2 linked regions of the Drosophila melanogaster genome follow. The protein of the gene in region 1 purifies or fractionates together with the protein of each later gene. This does not show direct contact. Each region holds a gene or a part of one and is shown on either strand. Other genes may lie near its edges.

Region 1 (7,127 bases):
TAGTTGCGTCCTCCGAGCAGAACCTATTGCCTCAGAGTTCAACGACGAGTCCCGATGCCCAAAAAGCCGTTTAAGACAGAACGAATAGGAATCGCGGAATAGGTGTGATATCGACAAGAAACCAAATTATTTAGTTATTGTGAACACGAGGGTTATTATGTAAATAAGAGGCTCTTAATACCAATAAATATGCATGTTTAGTACACAACTGGTCCTTTAACATAAATGCTTAACCAAGAAATAAGATGAATCATTTTAAGTTATTGTTAGTCGATCAATTATATTTATTATACCCAAATTAAATTAAAACTACATGAAGTTTTAAATTATGCGTATGACTAAATCGAAACATATCAAATGCAACCTCTAACTATGTTATCAGCTGATAAAATAAATATTTGTTTATTCGATAAGCGAAATACACCAGTCTAGACTGGTGAACTTAAATATAATAGTCGTATGTATTAACCAAACACACAATGTGTAAGATAGCTGGAAAATAGATATTTTATAAATGTTACCTCCTAGTTATTTCACTTAATCACAATCGTCTCCACGGGCTGACTGATTCCAAAGATGTGCTGCGCCAGCATCAAGTGTTCTTGGTTAATGAAATTCGCAAGCAAAGTGATCACGTTCTCATTGCAGCGGGCAATCTGCTGGCGTGTTATCGCCCTGAATTCATCTCGGGCTCCTTTGTCCGCTCCACGGGTGCCAATTCTTCGGCTTTGGGAACCACCAGCTACAGTGGTCGCAGTAGGTGTGCCACTCGAATTTGGCGAGCTGGTCAACTCAAAGTTATCCTCCTGCTGGGAGTTCCAAATGTGCGAGAGTTCCTCGAGCAAATCGATATTAATAATGTAGGTGGATAGGGTGCGCAGATTGAACGATTTCCGTTGCTTGATCAGGTTAAATATCTGTTGAGTGAGCAGAACATCGTTGAGTAGATTAAGTTGCTGCAGCACTAGGATATCCCCTAGCAATCGATCTGGAACGTTCGGTTCGAAGACCTTGCGACTCAGTCTGCTGATGATGGCTCCCACGCAGTACTGAACCAACGCTGATCGAGTGAGGGGCAGAAAAACCATGTGCCTGTGGCCCTTCAGCGACATATTCTCCAAAAGTTGACCCTGGGTGGTGGGGAGTTCTGACAGGATCTTTAAAATGCACTGGAAGCCCTGGAGCTGTGTGAGAAATTCATTAAGGTTTACCCATGTGAAAAAACTGGCTCTCTACTTACCGTCATGCTGCCTTGCATTAGATTAAGGCTCAAGATCTGCAGGCTTTGCACCAGACTGCTCTGGGTGGTCATGTCCGCCATAAGCTTGTTGGCCTCATCCCGGTGTCCGAAATATATGGCCAAGTCGAAGAGGAATCTTGAGATCCAAGGCGCCAAGGGAAGAGCCAGCATAAGTTGACTGAAATCCCTTTGGAACTGATCCGTATTGAGCAGCTGCCAGCACTGGGCGGCGTGTAGGAAGGCCTTGGATAACTCTGGACTTATGGCCGTGGTCAGGGAGAATTTCGGTGGCTCCATGCTGGGCACTTCGGAGCCATCACCTTCCGGCGACCATTCCATGAATCCTTCTACCAAAACATGAGTTACATCGGCATCCTCGATCCTCAGCTTACAATTTCGTATATAACCATGAAGGGAGTAAATGAACAAGGTGGTGGCGTAGAACAAAACCTGGGAGCTGCCCGCAGGACTGCCGGAAAGTATGTCCACCAGCTTTTCCCAGTAGACGTTCTGGTTGACATGCTTGCTGAAGGGCAGGAAGGGCTCCCAGCCCATCATCTGACCGCAGATCATCAGCACTTTAAAGATGTTCTTCCAGGCATCTGCTGTATCCGATTCATCCATTATTTGCCGCAAATAAAACTCCAAGGAACTGGTATAAAGTCTGCAGGCCAGATTTGGCGAAAGTTCCGGGGGCTTATTCTGGATCATGGGCAATACCTCCTCCACCAGAATCCGCTGATAGAGATCCGGTTCGGTTTTCATGCCCTCCGCCAGCATTTCCAGTAGCCTGGGAGCCTGAGTTATGGCTGATTTGGGAAACTTGTTGAACATCAGTATGTAGATATAGATGCGCTCCAGATTATCGGCACTGTGGTTGATGGTGTGCATGAATATGTTGTGCTGTACTTCCGGAGTTAGGTGCTTGTACATTTTTACATAGAACTCGTGTTCCGGCGTAGTTTCATTCTCATTTCTGAGGGCATTTGTTAGGGAGTTGATCTCCTGCCACAGCTCCGTATGTTGATTCTGGAAATTGGTGGCTCTGGAACAGTAAAAGATAAAGTAACTGGAATAGATGTGCTATTGTATACTCACATAGCACTGAAACACTTTGCTGCCTCCTCATAATTCTGAGCATCGCGTTCCAGTAGATAAGCCTCGTATTGCAGGTTGAATGCATTGGGATATAAAGTTTTAGCTGTGATAATCCAGGCCATGGCCGCGCAAGGATCGCTTTTCCGGAGTCTTTGCGCCTCCTTGACCATGTACAACTCATTTTCCTCTTGGCTCGGCATGTTTCTTCGGGTATATCTTTTGTTTTTATTAATTTTCTCCTAGTTTCAACAAAAACAAACCATTTAGCCGGCTATTAGGAATTTATTTACTAGCACTGGCCATATTTTTCTATTAGGGATGGGAACTATTGGATCTAGAAACTAGCTAGAGATTTCAATTATTTTCAAAACGCTTGTTTAGCATAGTGCGCTTGTTTTAGTTACATTAGGGCTGGCGTTATTGAGTCATTTCAACCTAAAACGCTTTTTATATCAATATATGTTCGGTGAATTCGAAGATATTTAATTTTCAGCTTGAATATAGCTAGCTTAACAAGCGACTCTCTCCTCATCTGCAATCGATAACAGCAGCGGCAGTAGTGTTGCATAGTAGCTGCCAGCCAGCTGATTATTCGCTAAATAACCAATTGTTTTTTCGCGAATTTTTCAATTTTCTGTGATTTTTGCGGCTACAAAATCGAAAACTATATTAAGCAAAATACATACGAACCTGGCAATTGCGACTGCTTATGTAATATCTGTGACAAACCAAGTTTTCTAGAAAATACCTGCCGATGCGTCGTTGCGCTTTGTTTTTGTTGCGTGAATAAGAATCGTTGGATATTTGTACATTCGCAATTTGTTGTAAATATGTTTAAATCTTAAGTGCCACAGCTTATCAACGAAGTAATATAATTGCGATTCCCTCCTTTTGTTAATCAGTCCCACTATATAGCACTAAATATAAAAATTGAGTGCACAAATCGCAGTATGCCCCATTTTCTGATTGTCATTCCGAAAACAAACAATGACAGTCGCATTGAAAGTTTAAATCAAATCGTTTCCCAGAAAATTCGTACGTAAATATCTGAAATGTCAGACACTAAATCCGAAATTGAGGGCTTTATAGCCATTCCCACGACATCGGGCGAACAACAACAACAACAGCCGCAACAGCAGCAAAATGAGCAACAAGTGGTCGGCACAAAGGACATTAAAGCTCCTGATCAGGGTAAGTTGTGTAATATTTATAGAAACTTACTAACTTACTTAAGAGCGCTCTATGTAATTGATAAATGGCCTGCAAATAACAATCGTTCATTAGTATCTTATCATATTCTATATCGTAAAATAATCTTAAAAAATACGATTATTGTATATATTAATATTTAGTTGAGAGTATCACTGATATCTAGAAGTTATTCATAATCTATAATAGAAATCATTATTTAATACATATCACTTAACAATAGATACTCATAAATCATGATAAACAAGACAACGTACACTAATTCATGCATTATGCTAATAACAATCTGCTCATTCTATAGATATTTTTTTAACAAATTTATTTGTACCTGTTTCTATTGTTAGTTTATAGAGCAATGTGTTTTTCATCCACGAATTATGCATATCTATTTACTCATACCTTGAATCACTTAACTTGAATGAAGTTCCTTAGACTTTCATTCCAAGATCGGCGACTCTCTTCGATGAATCATCAAGTTAACCCCTTCGAATAAAAGTAACATAAATTCCGAAAAACCTGTTTGATTATTTTGTAAATTGCTTCAAAAATGTGACGTTATATTTATTGTAATAATAGCCGTTTTAATTGTTCAGTTCCAACTTGTTTAACCTAGTGTCTTATCAAATATATTATGTAAACACAAAATAATTCTAAGTTTGATTAATTTTACAATTTATTTTAAAGCAAATTGAGTAGTGAATTAAATATTTATGTCGTGTTAGACATAATTTTATTTACAATTTCTTTCGTGATTTGTTTTTGAATGCAAGTGTTAATTTACTTAATTTATTTAAAGTTCTACATCAGTCTTAAAGTCTTAACGGGAGTTTTGAGTTTACTTCTGTGTTCTATATTTTGTAGTGTCAAAATGTATTGTATATAACTACCGGTTTGAGTTGTTGCTTCCGAAATCCGCACATAGCAGGTTTGTTTCTGCAATTTTCAATCTTCTCCTAACCAACCAACAGCACAGACAATTTCACTAATCATATCCTCGAGATTCTGTTTAAATATAAATACAAATAAAACTCGTTGCAGTGGGGAAAAAGCAGCGACCACGTTTGATACAAGAGAAGAGCACCCAGGAGACAAATCCGTTGATCCTGGAGCATGCTACTCTGGAATGGGTGCCGCAGCATATGGATAAGCTACTGAATCAGTATCAGGAATGTCGCAAAATGCCGGCTGCCGAGTGGCTTCATTTGTTGACTTACCTGGTGGCCCTGGAATGCGGATTTGTGGAGGAGGAGACATTTGCCCAGAAGAGACACCTCATTCAACCCGTACCATCATTTAGCAGCTTTCACGCCCAGAATGTGCGAATCCTGAGCGAACAACCAGCTAGATATGAAGTGTGCTTCAATGACACCGTCTATATAATGCGACTGAGAACACTATTGGACAAGCATGCTCCCGAGGAGACTTCTCTGGTGGCTGCCCTTCAGTGCCGGCTGATGGCCGTCAGCCTGGGGGATCAGCTTATGATCACCCTGTCCCCAGCACCTCCGTCGAAGGAGCCTGGCTACAGCGTCAGCCTGTCTATCGGACGCTATGTACTGAATATTCAGGCGAAGAACAAGCCCATCTACCATCGCTTTCGGAAGCTGGATGAACTCTCATATCAGCTGAAACAGCACTTGTTCCAGCCCATGCGATCGCAGCAACTAATGCAGATGGAGATGAAGCTACAGCCCTCGCTATTGGGCCTCCCGGACGAATTGTACTTCGAGATCTTCAGATATCTGGACAAAAGCCAGCTAAATGTGGTGGCCAGGGTCAATAGACATCTTCATTTCTACAGCAAGGAAGTGGAGCGAAAAAGGCTAAAGGGCGGCAGAAGCTAAGCTCTTGTTTTAATCGAAGCCGGTTTAAGCGATTTTATAAATATTATTATATTAATAAATTATTAAGTGGTGCATAAAGATTCTCGGGAATCATTGTATGTCAATAAATATATTTGCTTATTCAAGTAAATGCCTTGTTAAGAGCTGAAATACAACACGTCTCTTTATATTCTCTGAAATGTTTTAAATATTAAGACGGATTTTTACAATAAACTATCCTCAAAGATAAAGGGAATATTCCTTGCTTTATTTGGTGGAAGGCATGGATTTTTTCAATTGAAAAGGTAAATTCGAGAAAGTGATTCAATTAATTAAGCACTTCAGTTTTCAGATAGATTTTAAGTAACAGGGGAAGGTGTTTTAAATTACTGAAGCTTCTTATGTTTTGTTTTTTTACATATGTTTTAGTAAGAGTAAGAGTAAGAGTAATACCATATATTTGTGTTTAAATTATCCTTTAAATTGTGTCCTTATTGCATGCATTTATACGACCCGCTCCATCAGCAAGGACAATTGTGGATCCTCCGACGCCCTCGGCTGAGTCCTGCAACTCCTTCGATATCTTTGAGCCACCTGCCACGCCCCTGGATTCCATTAGCCTCAAGAGCAGTGCCAGTAGTTACCTCTACGATCGTGATATTACAGGTGAGTTGCGTCCACGTGTCCGCGCCACCTGTTCGTCGGCATTTCACCCCCCCCCCCTCCGCCCTTTATGACCGAAAAGAGGGGTACACGCCCCTAAACGAGTCGGCCCTCAACCACAGAAGTGCAGAATGCGAAACAAGCTGCTCCAGCAGCCAAAAACACGCGCCGAGATTGTCGCATCCACAATTCCCAGTGCCCCCAAAAAACCCCAAGCCCCCATTCGCCATTCCATCTTCGTCGGCTTCGAATCTCCAACCTCACAAGCCCACTTCGATTTTTTATGCGCACGCAAAATCAACAAAACCCACGCGGGCAAAACGGCACCCCTATAACCCCTATGTGTGCTACAGCTTTATACACTGAGAGAAACCCATGAAAAGCCGACGAAAATTTGTAAGTTTACACTAGTTTACAATTTTCAATTCATTTGGAACTCTTGAGAGTATCTCGAACACATTCGTATTTCTTTTAAATGTTTCTCTCAGTGTACTCCCCTTGGCCTCTTCGCCTTTTCGGTTTTCCTGGCGGATGGCATCTACAATTTGGTTTTTCTCCCTCAACAGCGGGATGCTTGCTGCTCGGTGCTGGGCTCCTATTTCGTGTTTATATTACGATATCGACTTTCTCGGGCCGAGCCTTATCACTAAAATAAAATGAAATAAAAACAAAAATGGAAAAGGGAGAGAGTGAGAGTGAGCCCAGCCTGGCGACATTCCCCTTGGAAACCCTATGTTTTCGGTTTCCCGTGGGTCCTGTCGAAATTATCTGGCTACAACTTTATCAAAATTTACGAAAAACAGTGACAAATGCATAAATAAATTATGGCAAAGCCAAACAAAGCAAAACATATTCCGCTGGGCTAGTGCTCTCGCATTTATTTTTGGACTAGAGGCAGTCGTGTCTCCTGAAAAGCTTCGGAAAAACGAGAGAAGCTTTCCATCGAGCGAAGAGTTACTCAGCATTTCCCAGGGGCAGCTGTTTAACCCCAGCCTCGTCATCCATTTTGTCCGCCCACAATTCGGTCGAATGGTTGGGTGAATGAACCCACAGATGTGGGTTTCATACAGTGGCGAAATATAACGAAATATAGT
Region 2 (5,921 bases), on another chromosome or scaffold:
GAGGCCAACCTGTTGTTGGGTGACATTATCAAGGTGACGCCCTCGTCGAAGGTGGTAGGTGATCTTGCCCAGTTCATGGTGCAGAATGACCTGACCGCCGATCAAGTGCTGGAGCGGGCCGAGGAGCTGTCGTTCCCCAAGTCGGTGGTGGAGTACTTGCAGGGCTCTATTGGCATTCCGCACGGCGGATTCCCCGAGCCGCTGCGTTCGCGAGTGCTCAAGGACATGCCCCGCATCGAGGGACGTCCGGGAGCCGAACTGAAGGACTTGGACTTTGACAAGCTGAAGAAGGAACTGCAGGAGTCTCACACCTGCGTCACCAACCGTGATGTCATGTCAGCTGCCCTCTACCCGCAGGTGACGAATGATTTCCTAAACTTCCGCGAAAAGTACGGACCCGTCGACAAGCTGGACACTCGCATCTTCCTCACGGGTCCCAAGGTGGGCGAGGAGTTCGACGTACCTCTGGAGCGCGGTAAGACGCTGAGCGTGAAAGCTCTGGCTGTGTCCGCCGATCTCAAGCCCAACGGTATCCGCGAGGTATTCTTTGAGTTGAATGGCCAGCTGCGCGCGGTCCACATCCTGGACAAGGAAGCCGTTAAGGTAGGTTCAGTCAGCAGTCATCGGTGATCTTTAGGCAATGGAATCATTTGCTTGCTCTTCTTCCGCAGGAGATCCATGTCCATCCCAAAGCGAACAAGTCGAACAAGAGCGAGGTGGGCGCCCCCATGCCCGGAACTGTCATCGATATCCGCGTGAAGGTTGGCGACAAAGTGGAGAAGGGTCAGCCTCTGGTCGTGCTCTCGGCCATGAAGATGGAGATGGTGGTGCAGTCGCCATTGGCGGGCGTTGTCAAGAAGCTGGAAATTGCCAACGGAACGAAGCTGGAGGGCGAGGACCTCATTATGATTATCGAATAGACAGTGCCACCGGATCAAAATGTCCATTGTCTAAGCTGCCACCGCACACACCCAATGTAAAATTAAGTGAAAACAGTGATAATCTTAGGGACTCTGTCAGTTCGATTGATCATAAAACTGTCCAAAGTCGCCTGTGTCTATTTTTATATGAATCAAAATCATTCATGTTTCCGTGTTTCCAGGATCAATCGACCATGAGTAACTGGTCAAATTTTTTAGCTGTCCCTGCCAAAATATATCGGATTGCATAAGTTCGTGCCCAAGTATATTTGTAAATTTGTCGTAGGGCTTTTCCCGCAAGTCATTTGAATCAAATTTGTACGATTATGGAATTTTTAATTCGCAAACACCTGTGTCGAGATTCCCCCTCTAGTAAATACGTAAGTGGTTATTAATGTTATATTAACTATTGTGTAATAAACGTTATACAAAATAAAAAGTAACGCCCTGGTTTTTGTAGTGTGAAATTGGTGATTAAACATCTCGAAACAAATATGTAATGTATGGTTATCTACTTTATTTTTTTCCTAAAATTAATTAAACTGAATTAAGTTAACAATCATGAATGAAACGGCTCCGAAGCTAAAGCCTACATGCACTTGACAATGAACTCTAGGAAAGCCAGATCCTTGTTCAGCTCGGTGACCCGCTTAAAGTGTCTCTGGACGTACGGAGTGAGTACCTCGACCATGTTGCCATTGTAGTAGAACCTCGCCTTGGGATCCAGAAGAGCATCTCCGATCAAGTACTTGAGGATCATGTTGCCCGCCTGCGAATGGCGCGAGTTGGTGGTCCATGCCTTGACGTGCTGCAGCAGCGCAACCCGCTGGTCAACGTTCAACTGGTCAACCAATTGCCGGAGACCGGGCTCATCTCGCTTGCGGACAAAGTGGTTGATAATATCGAAACTGGCTTTGGGCTTGTCCAGGTTCAGAGCCAACACGAAGGCCTTGTGAAGCTGCTTCTGGGCGTGCAGAAGGGAATGTAGGGTCTGCTCCTGCTCCAATGCGGCCTGCCGCTTGTCCAGCGCTTCGTTTCGCGTCACCTGAGTGACATCACCGAAGCGAATCAGCTTGGAGTCCGCGCCGCCGGTGTAAAAGAACCGATTGCTCCTGGCGGATACGGCCAGCGCCCAAACCCTATCGTTGTGCTCGTCCAGGGACTGCAGACATGTGTTGGTCTTGATATTCCACAGCTTAAGAAGGCCATCCGAAGCAGCGGAGATAATGAACTTGCCGTGATCCAGGAACTCGGCTCTCAGTATGGTGCACTCCTGATCGAAACGTTTTATGCACGAAAAATTGCTGATGGACCAGATGCGGAGAGTACAGTCCGACGATGAGGTGAGCACGATCTGATCCACCGGAGAGAAGCGCACACTCCACACACCGCGGGTGTGTCCCCGCAACACTCCTTGCAGCGTGTTGGACTCCGCCAGCCACACCTTAGCCGTCTTGTCTTGCGACGCGGTAGCAATAAGCTTGTTATTCGGAGCATATGCAACGCAGTTCACCTCCTTGTCGTGGGAAAGCGCTGCGTAGCGCAGGTTGAAAGAGTACGAGTTGCGATCCTCCTTACTTCTGACGAGCTGCCATACCTTCATGCTGCCATCTTGGCTCACGGATGCAAAGCCAGTAGCTCCGTTGTGCGTCATGGCCACGCAACCGATAGTGGACGTGTGGCAGTTGGCCTGTTGAGTCAGAGCCTCAAGCGAGCAATCTTTGTCGTGCTGAAGCCTCCAAAGCCGAACGCTGCAGTCCTTTCCCACCGAAATCAGCAGATTTTGGGATGCAGCAAGGGACATTACCGTATCCGAGTGACCCACGATCAGCTTGCAATTCATGTCGTGTTCCGTGTCGTACAGCTTGAAGTGCTTGCTGTTGGTGGCAACGGCCAGGTAGCGATCGTGTTCGCCCATAAAGCACATGTCTAGGATCTCGTCGTTGTAACCCACCAAGTGTTTAATGGGTTCCAGGGTTTCAACGTCGTAGACCAAAATATTCTGCTCTGTAGTGACCAGGGCCAGCTGTTTTAGCTCGCTGCAGTGCAGCAGTCTACTAATTTGGAAATCAGATTGAGAAAGAATATCCCTGATCTTCCAAGATTTAGGGTCGACCTGTTGCAGCTTGCCCGATCCGCTCGCCACGATTATCAGTTGTCCCTCGTCTGCGTACACGACTCCCTCAAGCTCATCGTACAAGGGAAGAACCTTCAACTGCTTGCTTTCCAACTGCTCCTGCAATTGCCACACGATCATAACCTTGTCCCGGCTTACAGTCACGATTTCATTGCAGTCGGACGCGTTGCTCTTAAAGCTCAAGCCGGTGACTTGCGACAGGTGACCTCGCATCTTGTGCACAAGTGTCTTCGTCTCGTAGTTCCAGGCATAGACAGTGTTATCCGAACCTCCGGCGTAGATCTCTTTGCGCAGCACATTGGGATGAAAGACGAGGAGCCAAGCGGGACCAGGGAAATCCTTGAGGGCACCCAGACAGCTGTTGTTCGAGTAGTCCCACAGCCTCAGTGTGGCATCTGCACCGCCGCTGGTGCAGATAAGCCTGCCGCAGGGACTAAACTCAACTCGGATGACTGGTCCCTTGTGCTGCGCCTTCCACAGCTTCACCAGCTTCCCAGTGTCCAGCTGCCACAGCCTAAGCAGGCCACTTCGATGGGCAGTAACCAGATGCTCCTGTGACAGCCCGAAGCAAGTAATCGTATCCTCCTCCACATCGATATTGTCCAGCTCCGCCGGCCTCTTGTTATCCGCCGACGGGGAAGACAAGCCGTAGCTATTTAGGATTTGGGAGGTCTGCACATCCACCTGGTTTACAGCTGAGCCATTGAGGCAGTAAAGATGATGGCCATTCGGGCTCCAGGCGATGTCGCCGCCGGCGTAGAAGTTCGTGTAGCGGGCCTCCGCCGCATAGCTGGATTTTAAAATTGTTGTAGTCTTGCAATCATCAGGTAATTATTAAGTTTATGTTACCTTTTCTCGCTGATACCCGCCAGCATGATTTTCGTTGTTTATAAATACAAAAACCGCGTGCGCCGCGGATCAGAACATGAACGGAACTAGTTCGAAATGTTACTTTACAGAGCATGTAAGGGGATATTCGAAATGTATAAGTAGAAAAGAAAAGAATGATATTAACTTCAACTGTGCTAAATAAATAAAGTACCATGAATTGGTGATTTATTTTTAATCATTCGAATTTTATCTGAAAAAATCGCGATTGGTATACGATTGGTTTTTATTGACGATAGTCGTTCCGAAACTATCGAACCTCCTTGACCGATAGGCCCCTTTGTTTTGTCCACCACTAGCCAAGTAAAAGCCGTCAAATCATCGTCGCATTCGACCCAAGGAATTAAACTAATTTTTGCGTTTGAATTGTTTAAATTTTCACAAAGTCTTCGCTATGAGTACTATTGGCACTGGAGTAAGTGGTCAGCGAACTACATATCTGCAGATCCCTAACGTCACCCTCTCGCTTCCAGTACGACTTGTCGGCCTCGCAGTTTTCGCCTGATGGCCGCGTTTTCCAGATCGACTACGCCTCAAAGGCGGTGGAGAAGAGCGGCACCGTAATCGGGATTCGGGGCAAGGACGCCGTGGTGCTGGCCGTGGAGAAGATCATCACCAGTAAACTGTACGAACCAGACGCCGGCGGACGCATCTTCACCATCGAAAAGAACATCGGAATGGCGGTGGCCGGCTTGGTGGCCGATGGAAACTTTGTGGCTGACATTGCGCGTCAGGAGGCAGCCAACTACAGACAGCAATTTGAGCAGGCTATCCCGCTTAAACACCTGTGCCACCGAGTCGCCGGCTACGTTCACGCCTACACTCTGTACAGTGCCGTCCGCCCCTTCGGACTTTCCATCATTCTCGCCTCCTGGGACGAAGTAGAGGGGCCACAGCTCTACAAGATCGAGCCGTCCGGCTCCTCCTTCGGTTACTTCGCCTGCGCCAGCGGCAAGGCCAAGCAGCTGGCCAAGACTGAGATGGAGAAGCTCAAGATGGATATGAGGACCGACGAATTGGTGGAGAGCGCTGGTGAAATGTACGTTTACAGCAAAAAAAAGGGACTGTTTCAAAAATCGGGCGGGCTTTATCCTAGTTCCGAGTGGAAACTTACTTGCTCTGACAATAGGAAGCATTTTTGGGACATCTATTGCACTTAGAATCTAGGTTTTTATTCATAATTAACATATCTATCCTATGTCTTAGCATCTACAAAGTCCATGACGAGTTGAAGGACAAGGACTTCCGCTTCGAAATGGGTTTGGTGGGCAGGGTAACCGGTGGCCTACATCTCATAAATCCCTCAGAACTGACGGAGAAGGCGAGGAAAGCCGGCGATGCGGCCAACAAGGACGAAGACAGCGACAATGAGACGCACTAGTTCGTTTGTGTGCCAGTGAATCTAATTCTGGGCCTCATACATAATGTTAATTTTATATTTCCCTAAAGCGCAAAATGAATAAACAAAATCGGGTGAAATTTAAGGTTTTTATATTTTTATACTCTCATTCTTTAATAGTTATCGTTCGATATAAATATATTGGCTCGCTGGTTATCGGATCTGGTTCCTTTTGAATGTGCCTGCAGCTATTAAACCTCGATTGCTACAAAGAAAAACCTTATCGCTCACAGCTGATGCATTTCGCGCCATTTGTTGTACTTTATTTTGGTTTTAACGACGCACGACTGGAATTTCAGTCTATTGTTAATAACTACAATGACTACCTTAATAGAACAGTTAATTACGAAAATGGGCCTAAGGGAGGAGCCAAACGTGCTAGAGTAAGCGATAAATAAATAGTTTTAAAGGTTTACCCAGTAAGATCGAATCCTTTCAGGAAAACCACCGAACTAGTACGCCTCCTGGAACTGCGCTCCACGAATGTCCCTCTGCAGATCAACGAGTACGGAAAGATAGTGCTGTGTGCGGATCTCGCTTCCTGCATGATTGGGATCGCTTTCGACAAGGAGCAGGC

Evidence for each region.
Region 2: the proteins of ntc (region 1) and Prosalpha7 purify together in Drosophila melanogaster (affinity purification with western blotting, with the first as the bait; one study listed by BioGRID). This does not show direct contact.

Annotation. Positions count from the first base shown.
Region 1 is NT_037436.4:3,802,223-3,809,349, reverse strand, and holds ntc (nutcracker), read left to right. Parts: upstream 1-2,890; 5' UTR 2,891-3,390; coding exon 3,391-3,529; intron 3,530-4,585; coding exon 4,586-5,391; 3' UTR 5,392-5,518; downstream 5,519-7,127. Other genes in the region: CG32262 (uncharacterized protein), read left to right, coding at 1-74; IntS10 (integrator 10), read right to left, coding at 534-1,184, 1,241-2,285, 2,339-2,538. UniProt on the Drosophila melanogaster protein: Functions together with PI31 to control non-apoptotic caspase activation during sperm individualization. Positively regulates PI31 stability.
Region 2 is NT_033778.4:9,846,136-9,852,056, reverse strand, and holds Prosalpha7 (proteasome alpha7 subunit), read left to right. Parts: upstream 1-4,220; 5' UTR 4,221-4,339; coding exon 4,340-4,360; intron 4,361-4,418; coding exon 4,419-4,984; intron 4,985-5,151; coding exon 5,152-5,326; 3' UTR 5,327-5,421; downstream 5,422-5,921. Other genes in the region: PCB (pyruvate carboxylase), read left to right, coding at 1-603, 672-920; CG1671 (uncharacterized protein), read right to left, coding at 1,510-3,847, 3,907-3,932; Orc6 (origin recognition complex subunit 6), read left to right, coding at 5,663-5,727, 5,784-5,921. UniProt on the Drosophila melanogaster protein: The proteasome is a multicatalytic proteinase complex which is characterized by its ability to cleave peptides with Arg, Phe, Tyr, Leu, and Glu adjacent to the leaving group at neutral or slightly basic pH.